Linked DNA regions of Macaca mulatta. The protein of the gene in region 3 interacts with the protein of the main gene of each other region in a biochemical or structural test. Links are inferred from orthologs where the notes say so. Each region holds a gene or a part of one and is shown on either strand. Other genes may lie near its edges.

What was found.
Region 1: the proteins of DLG1 (region 3) and KCNJ2 form a complex in vitro, tested with the Homo sapiens proteins (2 studies listed by BioGRID and IntAct, with this or other methods). The link is inferred for Macaca mulatta from reciprocal best matches to the Homo sapiens genes DLG1 and KCNJ2.
Region 2: the proteins of DLG1 (region 3) and ATP2B4 form a complex in vitro, tested with the Homo sapiens proteins (2 studies listed by BioGRID and IntAct, with this or other methods). The link is inferred for Macaca mulatta from reciprocal best matches to the Homo sapiens genes DLG1 and ATP2B4.

Annotation. Positions count from the first base shown.
Region 1 is NC_133421.1:79,799,628-79,802,810, reverse strand, and holds KCNJ2 (inward rectifier potassium channel 2), read right to left. Parts: upstream 1,837-3,183; coding exon 553-1,836; downstream 1-552.
Region 2 is NC_133406.1:61,366,419-61,370,566, reverse strand, and holds the start of ATP2B4 (plasma membrane calcium-transporting ATPase 4), read right to left. Parts: upstream 2,853-4,148; 5' UTR 2,466-2,852; intron 1,807-2,465; exon of another isoform or gene 1,622-1,806; intron 1-1,621. UniProt on the Homo sapiens protein: Calcium/calmodulin-regulated and magnesium-dependent enzyme that catalyzes the hydrolysis of ATP coupled with the transport of calcium out of the cell. By regulating sperm cell calcium homeostasis, may play a role in sperm motility.
Region 3 is NC_133407.1:2,616,587-2,620,151, forward strand, and holds part of DLG1 (disks large homolog 1), read right to left. Parts: intron 3,208-3,565; coding exon 3,106-3,207; intron 2,848-3,105; coding exon 2,675-2,847; intron 1-2,674. UniProt on the Homo sapiens protein: Essential multidomain scaffolding protein required for normal development. Recruits channels, receptors and signaling molecules to discrete plasma membrane domains in polarized cells.

The DNA of each region.
Region 1 (3,183 bases), on a different chromosome or scaffold from region 3:
TGGCCTCAAAAAATCAGGCTCTTGTTTTGGCAGTTGATAGCCAAATACTTGCCACTTTGAAGCGCATCATGAGCTTTCAATCAAGTTCAACACTGACTTTAAAATTACACAGAAGGAAAACTACACTGCAACAAAAATACACATTTGTGTTCATGTAGTTAGCAGCTTTTCAAAAATTAAGGCAGAGTCTTGCCTTTGTTATGCCATTAAAAACATCCTTGTTCCCTAAAGAGAAGCATTCTGGATAAATCAAATACCCAACCAAGGCTTGCCTGCAAGTTCAAGTTTTGGAAAAACACAAAACAAAACATAAAAACCCATAACTTATTCTACAACATCTATGTGCCATTGGGTCACAATGGAGGCATGGTTAGTGCTTTATGCTAATCATGGAGCTTACAGTCTTTCTTTGAAACCATTGTGCTTGCCTCAGTCCCTTGTGGCCGCTTGCTTGACCCATCTTGACCAGTACCGTCATCTGTATAACTGTTTTGGGCCTCTGACCAACAGACCGTGTTGTAAAGTAACTATTCCAGAGGAGGAATCAGTCAGTCATATCTCCGACTCTCGCCGTAAGGGCCTGGGCTCTAGAGGTACACTTGCCTGGTTGTGAAGGTCTATGTCAGGGGGCGTGTCCGTACTAGTGCTTTCTGGAACTCCGTTTTCACTGTCATCTTCCTCTTTGCTTGTGAGGGCAACTTCATTTTCATAGCAAAATGAATTCGCATTTGAGAGGATGTATTTCTTTTCTGCTAAGTCTCTTGCACTGCAAAGGGGAGTGTTGGGGACTTCGTAAGTTTTGTGGAACCTGGAATAGTCCACTTTGTAGTAGTGCTTCTCTTCAAAGAGCACAGGCTCATAGCGGTGGCCCCACAGGATTTCATTTGCTAGATAAGAGCTACGGCACTGTGTCGTCATGGCAGTGGCTTCCACCATGCCTTCCAGTATGACCACGATTTCAAAGTCTGCATTGTCAATGTCCTGTTTACTCAAATCATATAAAGGACTGTCTTCGTCTATTTCATGGACTATAGTGATTGGGGACACCAGAAATATACGATCGATTCCACTGTCAAACCCAACATTGATGTCTATTTGATCCAGAGGGATATACTCCCCTTCAGAAGTGATTCTGGATTTGAGGAGCTGTGCTCGGACATGAGCTTCCACCAAGTGGCTTTTCCGAAGATTGCCCACTCGCCACATCAAACACAGCTTGCCATCTCTCATGGCAATCACAGCATTGTGACTGAAGACGAGAGTCTCGTTTCTCTTCTTTGGCTTTGCCATCTTGGCCATGACTGCACCAATGATGAAAGCATCAATGATGCAGCCCACGATTGACTGGAACACCACCATGAAAACAGCAATTGGGCATTCATCCGTGACACACCTGAAACCATAGCCTATGGTTGTCTGGGTCTCAATGGAGAAGAGGAAGGCAGCCGTGAAGCTGTTGACTTCGGACACACAAGCTTTGCCCTCTTTGGATGCATCCAGGTCCCCATGGAGCAGAGCTATCAACCAAAACACACAGCCAAAAAACAGCCATGACAGGACGAAAGCCAGGCAGAAGATAACCAGCATCCACCGCCAGCGAATGTCCACACACGTGGTGAAGATGTCTGCGAGGTACCGTTGCCCCTTCTCACCCACATTGATGAACTGAACATTACAGTGACCATCTTTCTTCACAAAGCGGCTCCTGCACTGTTGTCGGGTGTGGACTTTACTCTTCCCGTTCCCAAAGCCATTTGCAACTGCCATGGTGGCCAACTTCATACCGTCTTCTTCTGAAGAGACAATGCTGTAGCGGTTGGTTCGCACACTGCCCATCGCTTCTGCTGGGGACTCCAGTGCCTCTGCTTTGGAAAACAGTCTGAGTTTTTGCAAAACGCTTTGGAGAAACAGTTTTGAATGTTCGGTGAAGACACACACACACAAAAAATGAGGAGAGATGGGTGTCTCTGGGAGCCTCAGGGTTCTACCAAGGTCTGTCTGCTGACATGCAGAGTTACTTTAATAACTCAGCTGACATCCAGAGAACATGTCCTGCAAGAAAAGAGAGATTGTGCATTACAAAATAAGCCACTCTTAAAGAATTCTACTGTCTAAGACAATACATCCTAACAAAAACACATAATCAGGTAAAGATAAGTATACTTCACATTAAATTATAAGGTTTTACATTTCTTTGTATCCTAAGCATGCTTTGTAAACCTTTTATTTAAAAGCATAAAGTCGTTAAACATAGGAGAGTTGTCTGTGACAGTTGTTCAACCAAAATGTCAGGTCAGGTCCCCTTTCCCTTATTTTTGGCCAGGGATCTAGAATATTCTATTTTTCAGGTCTACCTCTCCCTTCTCTTATTCTCTTCTTTGGCCTGCCCCACCTGCTACGATCCCTGTTAAGCAGATGAAAGACTGTCTGATCCCAAGGTTTGTCGTAAAATTTTTGGAAAGAGGACATGTTTAGAAATCTTCACGTGGACGCAGTATTGATATTCACTGAGTTGCATGTGCACTACGGGAGAATATGAGAGCCCCTGATGGCAAGGTTGAAATCGGAAGACAGACTATTTTGTTTAAATGATATAACTAGCAGACCAGATAGGCTGAGGAAATGCTAGAGGACGAAAGTCAGATTCCCACCTGCAAATATAATAGTGATATGGATTTTGAAGTAGGCTTGATTGAGTGTATCCTGAAAACAGAGGGAACTAGTGGACAAAACCTCCTACGATGGTGAATACTGCCCCTATTGCTTATAATCATCTGAAATGGATCCCAGTTTCTGGATACTGTTTGGGCTTGCTTCATCACTTCTCACACTTCAAGCAACCACTATGCAGAAATGCCTGCTAAGTCTCTATTAGTGCAGGTAATTCTGGCTTGAAGACTTTGAAGACGCAGGTTTGCTCTGGGGGATAGAGAGCAATTCTGTTGCCTAGCAATAAGAGTCCTGAAATTCTCCTGAGATGGGGCTGTCATGTGTAATGACAGGCTAGGAAGTAAGCACCATTGTGCGAAAGGACCAGGTCTTTAGCGGATTGAGATAAGGCAGGAACTCATTTCATGTCAGTCCAATGCTGTGTTCTCTCAGACAGAGACAACTGTGTAAGGACAGATCGTAAATGCTAGTCCGCTTACTTTCATTTCCAGCGCTGTTATTTGCTACAGGTTC
Region 2 (4,148 bases), on a different chromosome or scaffold from region 3:
AGTTCTCAGACTACGGCAGAGCCCGGGAGGGTGGAGCCCAGCAGCGGAGAGGCTGGCGGGGCGGGGTCGCAGAGGCCGCGGAAAGCAGAGGGGCCGCGGGGTTGCGCAGTCGATCCCGCCCCGAGCCCCGGGGGAAGGGCTGAGACTGCGGGAGCCGATTCCCCGCTTTGGCAGCGACCCCAGGCTCAAAGCCGCGGGAGCAGGCAACCCGGTGCGCGCTAAATAACGACCTCACGGAGAAACAGTCCCTGAGCCCGTCAACATCGACCCCTAATCAGATTACTGAAAATAGGAAGGCCGGCTGCAGGAATAGTGACACTCTGGGCCCCCACGACGGGAGGCCGCGGCGGAAGCGGCGTGATTTTCGGGGTTGCACCTCAGCAAGATGGTGGCAGGGAGGATGGGACTCCCGAGGAGGAGCAAAGAAATGGATCCCCTCCCTCCAGAACACGGGCATTGATTCTGTCTTGGGGACCCTGCCCACTGGGGAAGGCCTCATTCCCTTACCGACCAGAATACAGGTAGGGAAGAGTCTAGCCAATGGGGTGCAGTCAGATCAATTAACACCTCAAAATGAAAATCGGTTCCTGTTGCTTCCTCAGCCCCGAGATGAGCTCTCCTCTAAGTGTTTTGCTTCCTTCTCCCCCAGTTTCTCAGCTGTAGCCTTTACCACTCCTCCAAGCCCTGGGGCTGAAGGCAGGTGTTTCCTCTCCCCCAGCCTGATTCCCACAGATCTGTCTGCTTCAGGGTTTAGGGCCCACCTTCCAGAACACGGCTTACCAAGCTGCCACCATCCTTCCTGCCCCTCCCGGAGTCTGCTCCCCAAGCCACCACCCTCAGCCAAGGAGGGTAACTCAGCTCATGGGCTAGGAGGCCTCTTTCCATCCCCTTCTTCCTAAACGCTCCTGGCCCAGCCCCTCCTCACCCCCAGGCTCCTTTCCTGGGCCTGGCCCAGCCTGGAATAAGCTTGGTCTCCTTCCTCCAGGTAGAGGGCCCAGAGTGAAGGGGGCACAGGAGGGCCTCCAATGAGAAGCCCTGGAGAAAGGGCAGCTTGGGGAGGGGCTTAAGGAGCAGGGCGAGGGTCTCTAGACTCCCTGCCAGACTCCTCACCCAGAGGAGGGAGCACTACAGAATGGGATTTTGTTTCCCTTCCCTCCCCAACTCCTTTCCCCTCCCCACAGGGGCCTCAGTTGAATGCCGGCCTATTGCTTCATCTGACATTCCCCCTGCCCGGCCAGCAGGCGCCGGCATCATGTCTGCAAGTTATTGTAAGTCCGGCAGGAATGCCCAGGAGGGAGGTGCCTCTGGCCAGCAGAGTGCCCACTCCCCTCCCAAGATGTGGCTGGCCACTCCTGCACCCTCCACACCCAGTTGGAGAAGAGCGGCGGGTACCCTCAGGGAGGTGGAGGAGTGTATGAGGCCAGACTTGACTCGGGGAAGGATGCCAGCAGCCCCCTCTACCAAGAGCGAACCAAGTACGTAAGAGAAAGAGAGAAAGGAGAGCAGGAAGGACAATCCCATTCTTAATTCCTAGCTCTTCAGCAAACCAAGGAAATGACCCAAGATGCTCAGGGACCCTTCCACAGATGCCTGTGGCCCACCCCGTCTGCCAAACACTCACCAGCCCCACAGTCTCCAGCCTTGAAATCGGAAACTTTTCAATTCACCCTTCTCCTTCCTCCCCTTTGGGACCAGAGATGTGTGGGGCGGTGCCCTCGGAGACACTCATACAGTTGGTTCTGGACGCTCACACACTCTCAAACAACAGCGGTACGAGGGAACTCCCAGCTTTTTCCACAGCTAATTATAGATGTGAAAGTCTGAGGATGTTTTGCAAGCAACACAGAGAAACTGCTTAGGTTTCTCTGCAAAGCTAAAGAAATTTAATTTGTGCACTCTCCTTCCCCTACTCCTCCCAACTTCTCCCAGCCCACCTCTACCCCATGGCCCCAAAGTGCCCCTCTCCTAGTTCCCGCTGCAGCCCCCCTTTCCTGCTGAAGATTTCTTTAGTTCCTTTTTTTTTTTTTCCCATCTCTTTTGGGCTTTTGAGAAAGGGAACAGACACGGAAAATATTTTTGCAACAGTTTTCCATCCTGCGTCTCATTCCCAAGCCAAGGGGGAAGGGGAGGGCAGGAATGGAATGGGTTGAGGGAGGGGAGATAAATGTTTTTTCCAAGAGTTCAATTTTGGTGTCAAAAAGAGAGTCCCTCCATTCCCCTACCCCATAGCACAGGAATGACAAGAACTAAAAAAAGAGAGATAAATCACTTATTTGACTATACAGTTTCTCAGAAAACAGTATTTGACAAATCTGTGCACACACACATATTTTTAAAAATCCTCCAAACCCAGTCGCATGAAATATGCTAGAAAGAGGAAAATCGGGGAGTTTTAGAAGCCACTGAGAGAAAAGAAAGAAACAAAGTTTGCAAATCACAAGTCAATTCATTCTCTGCAAGCCTACCTCTCTTTCTAGCAAAGATCCAGGTTTCTCCAAGTGGGACTCTCCCTCCGGGTTTCCATGGATGGGGGTAGGGTGGGGTGACCACCCACCAGTCTCCCCAGTGTGGCAACCAAGCTGGAGACGCTGGCTTTGCTCTCTTGCCTTTCCGGCTAAGGCCGGGGAGTGGGCTGGGTCTCCTCCCCCTGCCCTTCCAATGGGAAGGACCTCTCAGGTTCCTGAAAGAAAAAGGGTGCAGGAGAGCTGGACGGGTGTCTCTGATCTTGCTCTCTTCAGAGGGATGGTTGCCCAGGAAGTTCGTGCCCCCCTCCCAGCCCCCAGCGTTGGACAATCTCAACAGCAGAGCTTTCTTAAGAAAATGCTTGTCATGGCAACAGCTCTAGCTAACTCGGGCCAGACTCCTGCTCACCAGCTCTCCCCAAGCAGTGCGGGAAGAGAGAGGGGAGGAGCAGGAGCTGGAACAGAGGTGGGACTTGGCATGAGGCCAAACCATTACTCTACTGTTAAGGTGGCCCGATTCCTGCGGTTGCTTCCTGGTTCGTCTTAAGGGGGAATGGGGAAAGAAAGGGAAGGAATCCTCTCCCCTGTCGGCTTTCTTCTCCACCCTTGCTCTCACTTGTTGAATAGAAAGCTGAGTGGGGTGGAGGAGGGGTGAGGGTGGAGGTGGGGAGTGGATGTGGGTGGCGGTATTCAACGGTTGCTGGGCGGAGGGGAAAAAAAAGGAAGCTTCGGCAGGCGGTTGGCTTCCTGCAGCTCCCATGGGCCTCTCAACCCCTTACTCACTTAGATCCAGGACCCAGAAACCCAAGGTGTCTGTGGACACTTGTATGTCCCCTCCCACCTTCCTGCTCCTGTCTGAATAGGGGGTTCCTTGGAGAAGGAGAATAAATTGTTTTGTAAACACACACACACACACACACACACACACACACACACACACCTCCTCCCCAACACCTTATATACAGGTCACATTTTGTTCCCTCTTGCCCCTGTACCCACCAGAGGTATACTGACAGTGCATGAAAATAGCTGCCTACTTTTGAGTCCTGCTATGCGTAGGCTATGACACCAAAAGCTTTGTCTATACGATATCATTTCTAGTCCTTATGGCAATTTTGAAAGGTACTTGTTATTAGCCTCATTTCCTAGCTGAGGAAATTGAAGATTGAGTGTCTGGCCCAAGGTTATACATCTGGTTCATGACAGAGCCAACAATTCAAGGCCAAGTCAGACGGACTCCAAAGCCCAAGTACTTTCCTGTACTTGTATCATACTCCGGCACACATTTCTGTTTTAATTTGGACACACTCAGACATCCCTGCACACTTATACACAGCCTGTAAACTGTTAATCACACCCCCATACCCACACACCCACTAGCATTGTGCAACAGTGCCACCCATAGATTTTGCATAGAACTTTATGGCTTTCAAGCACAAACATGCACCATCAGCTAGTTCACACAACAACATATCTTCATTGACTGACAGATTCCCACACCTACCTCAGCAAACACACTCATGTTTATATGCTTGTGGAAGGCGTGTTGACATATATCTCACAGGTTATAGCTATGAGCTATGCTGTGAAGAAGGTGACTGGCCACTACTTCCCAACCTTTTAAACAGAGGGTTGGGAAAAGGCCTCTTTGATCCTATCATTCTAACCCAACACCTCACACCACCC
Region 3 (3,565 bases):
ACTATGTATCCATTATCTTTTATCAGATATAAATATTTTACATTATCGCTTAAACATTTTAGTAACTTGATACTGAAATATTAATATTCTATGTTTGCTTTAGCTCTTTCTATGTATGTACATAATAGTTTGAGAAAAAACTGCATAATGCTCCTTTACCTCATATTTCTTAAAAACAATGGCATCTCTTATATAATCACAATATGATTCCAAGTGGCCATCTAATGTTCCTTATTGGAAAAGAAAAAAAAAATTTCCTGGTCCAGGATCCAATTCAGGATCATAGGATCACACACTGTGGTTAGCTGTAAAGCCTCCTTAGTCTCCATCAATCTGACACAATTCCTCAGTCTTGGTCTTTCTTGATCTTGATGTTTTTGAAGAGTATAAAATATTACGTCATAGAATATGCCTCAACCTGGGTTTGTGTGTTTCCTCACTCTCGGATGGCAGGTTACACATTTTTGGCAGGAATACCACAGATATAATGTGTGTCCTTCTCAGTCCATCATATCTGGGAGGTGATATTATATCTATTTGTCCCACTGGTAGTGATGCTAATTTTGATCACTTGTTTAAGGTTTTATCTGCTAGGTTTCTCCACTGTAAAATTATTACTTTTGCCTTTGTAACTGATAAGTATTTTGGTGGAGGACACTTTGAGACTATATAGATATCCCATTTTTCATCAAATGTTCACTAATTTTAGAATACACTGATGGTTTTTGCCTGAAACAATTATTACCATGCAGTTTTCAAAAGATTTTCTAATCATTTCTTCTACCTTGATTAGTAGACAGTCCAAAGTGTTCCCTTCTATCCACTTATTTACTCATATACAGATGCTCCTTGACTTATGATGGGAGTTACGTCCCAATAAACCCAAGTTGAAAATACTATAAATTGAAAATGCGTTTAATATACCTACCCTACTGAACATCATAGCTTAGCCTAGATTACCTTAAATGTGCTCAGAACACTTACTCTACAGTCAGACAAAATCATCCCACATACCTGTTTTATAATTAAGTGTTGCATTTTTCATGTAATTCATTGAGTCCTGTACTACAAGTGAAAAACAGAAAGGCCGTATGGGTACTTGAAGTATGGCTGCTACTGAATATGCATCACTTTTGCGCCTCTGTAAAGCTGAACCATTCTAAGTTGGGGGCCATCTGTGTTTATTTCATTATGGAGTCTAGGATTTTAATTTTACTCTATATATTATAATCTGTGATTATCATTTATCTTGATATTCAAATTATCTCAGACTTGGCCAGTGGGGGACCCCACAGCTTGGTTCCTTGCCTTTTTACACACCCTCATCACTCGTGGACTGCTCCCTTGTTTTTCTGGCAGCAAAAATGTTACAGGCTCATCTTGCACTTTTCCAGTCCTGGCCCCAGAATCAGCCATTTCTCTAAGGAGTCCTGAATCTTTCAATTAACGAATTATATTTAGAAGCCAAGACCTGGGCACCAGATATTCTCATGGCTTATTCAGGGTTATTTTTAGGTCTTCTTAGTGGATAGAGCAAATAAGCATACGTGTGTGTATATGTAAATACACATCTTTCTAGATCTACTCTATTACAATTCATGGGTTCATATTCATAGCTCTAATTATCTAATATCTCCAATCCAATTATCAGAGTTCATTTTATCCTCTCCCTTTTTCTGACAGTCAAACCTCACTCCCACTACTGTCATTACATTAGTTTATTTGCTCAACCCTAGAATATATATTAGTTTCAGAACTGTAAGACCATACACTCCACCCAACAAACCTACTGATTAGAATTTTATTTTGTTTACAGATCTTTCTGTCTTCAGCTTGTGTTAAAAGAATCTCTGGGATTAAGACTTCTCCCTTCTCCCCTCTTCAATGTAGTTATTCATTTGAAATGGTTGGACATCATATCCTATGTACAAAGGCCATTTTTATATCTTATTTTTGTGTGAACTATGTATTCTCATCTTTTGTCCATTTTTTTTTCCCTATTGGGTTTCTGGTCTCTATTCCCTGTTTTTATGAGTTCTTTATATATTGGGAATATTAGCCCTTTTCTTCTTGCAAATTTTTTCTGTCAGTTGTCTTTTGACATTGTTAATGGTGTTTTCTAATAGTTTTTGGAAAAGTTCTTTGGCCATAAAAAAAGTTTTTAAAAATTTTAAGTGGTTAGATTTATTGATTTTTTCTTTTCTTTTCTTTTTTTTTTTAAGAGCCAGGGTCTTGTTCTGTTGCCCAGGCTGGAGTTCAGTGGCATGATCATAGCTCGCTGCAGCCTCAAATTCCCAGGCTTAAGTGATCCTCTCAACTCAGCCTTCTTAGTAGCTAGGACTATAAGGGTGTGCTGCCATACCTGGCCCTTATCTCCTTATAATATATGCTGGAGGGTTAGGGTTAAACAAAGGTCTATCTCTAGCAAATGACCTTAAAATAACTTCTCCTCTTACATTCATGTTACCATTCCTATTTTCACTTTCTTTGTCTACCTTATTTACCTGTTTTATCTTGTATGCACTTTCCTGAGCCACCAAAAATTAATCATGTAGGTAAGCAAATTCATTACGTTAATAAAACTAATTAATGCTGTATCTATCCTACCACTCTTTCATACTGTCAAAGGCATATCTGATTAGCAGCTATATTCTGGGACTAGTCTGATGCTTACCTTTTCTGCTACTTCTCGCACAGACTGAACACTTGTTCCATATAGATGATTGTTATACTGGCCAGCTTCAATGAATTTATGTTCCTGGATATCTTTTTCCATCTGCTCTCTTGAAGTCACAAAATGATAATCTCTTCCGTCTACCTCATAATCTCGTTTTGGTCTAGTTGTATCTTTAACAGAAAAAAACTTGGGGAAGTGTTTAATATTAAAAAAAAAACCCACAATAAATCCATTTTCTACTTGTATCATTGTTTTGTAAAGTTCAACAGATTAATTTAAATCTGAGAAAGGACAACAATATGGAGGATGGAAGAGTAACTGATAAAATAGGTACAAACCGTTAAAAAATGGTTCTACCTATTTTTCCCACACACAGTGACAGGCATTGTTAAGAGTAACAATGAAATGTTTTTGTCTGGTTTACTCACGAGGGACACAGGATCCAAATTTGTCGGGAAATTCTGAGATCAAGTCGTCATTGATCCGGTCTTTCATGGGTCCCAGTATGATCACTGGCCGAGTGTAATTAACTATAAAGATAAACTGCACGTTAAAAGGAATAAACAGTCAACAAATATCAATGTATTTTATTTCACTACAGAACAAAAATATCCTTAACTGTTTTAAATATTTTTTTTCTTCTTTCTCCATCTCACTCTACCATCAACCAAAGATGCATAACTTGCTCTTTTATAATCTTGACTAAGATCTTAAACTCTACTCAGTCTTGTTAGAAGTCATATTGATAAATCAAGTTAAATTTGGTATGTTAGCAGATAATGTTTCTTTACATTGCAAATCAAAGCATAAAGTGTAGTGTTTTACAGATGGCTCTGAAGTAGAAATTGTAAGGAAGCAGAGCAAAGAAGGGCAGAAAAGAAATTGGAT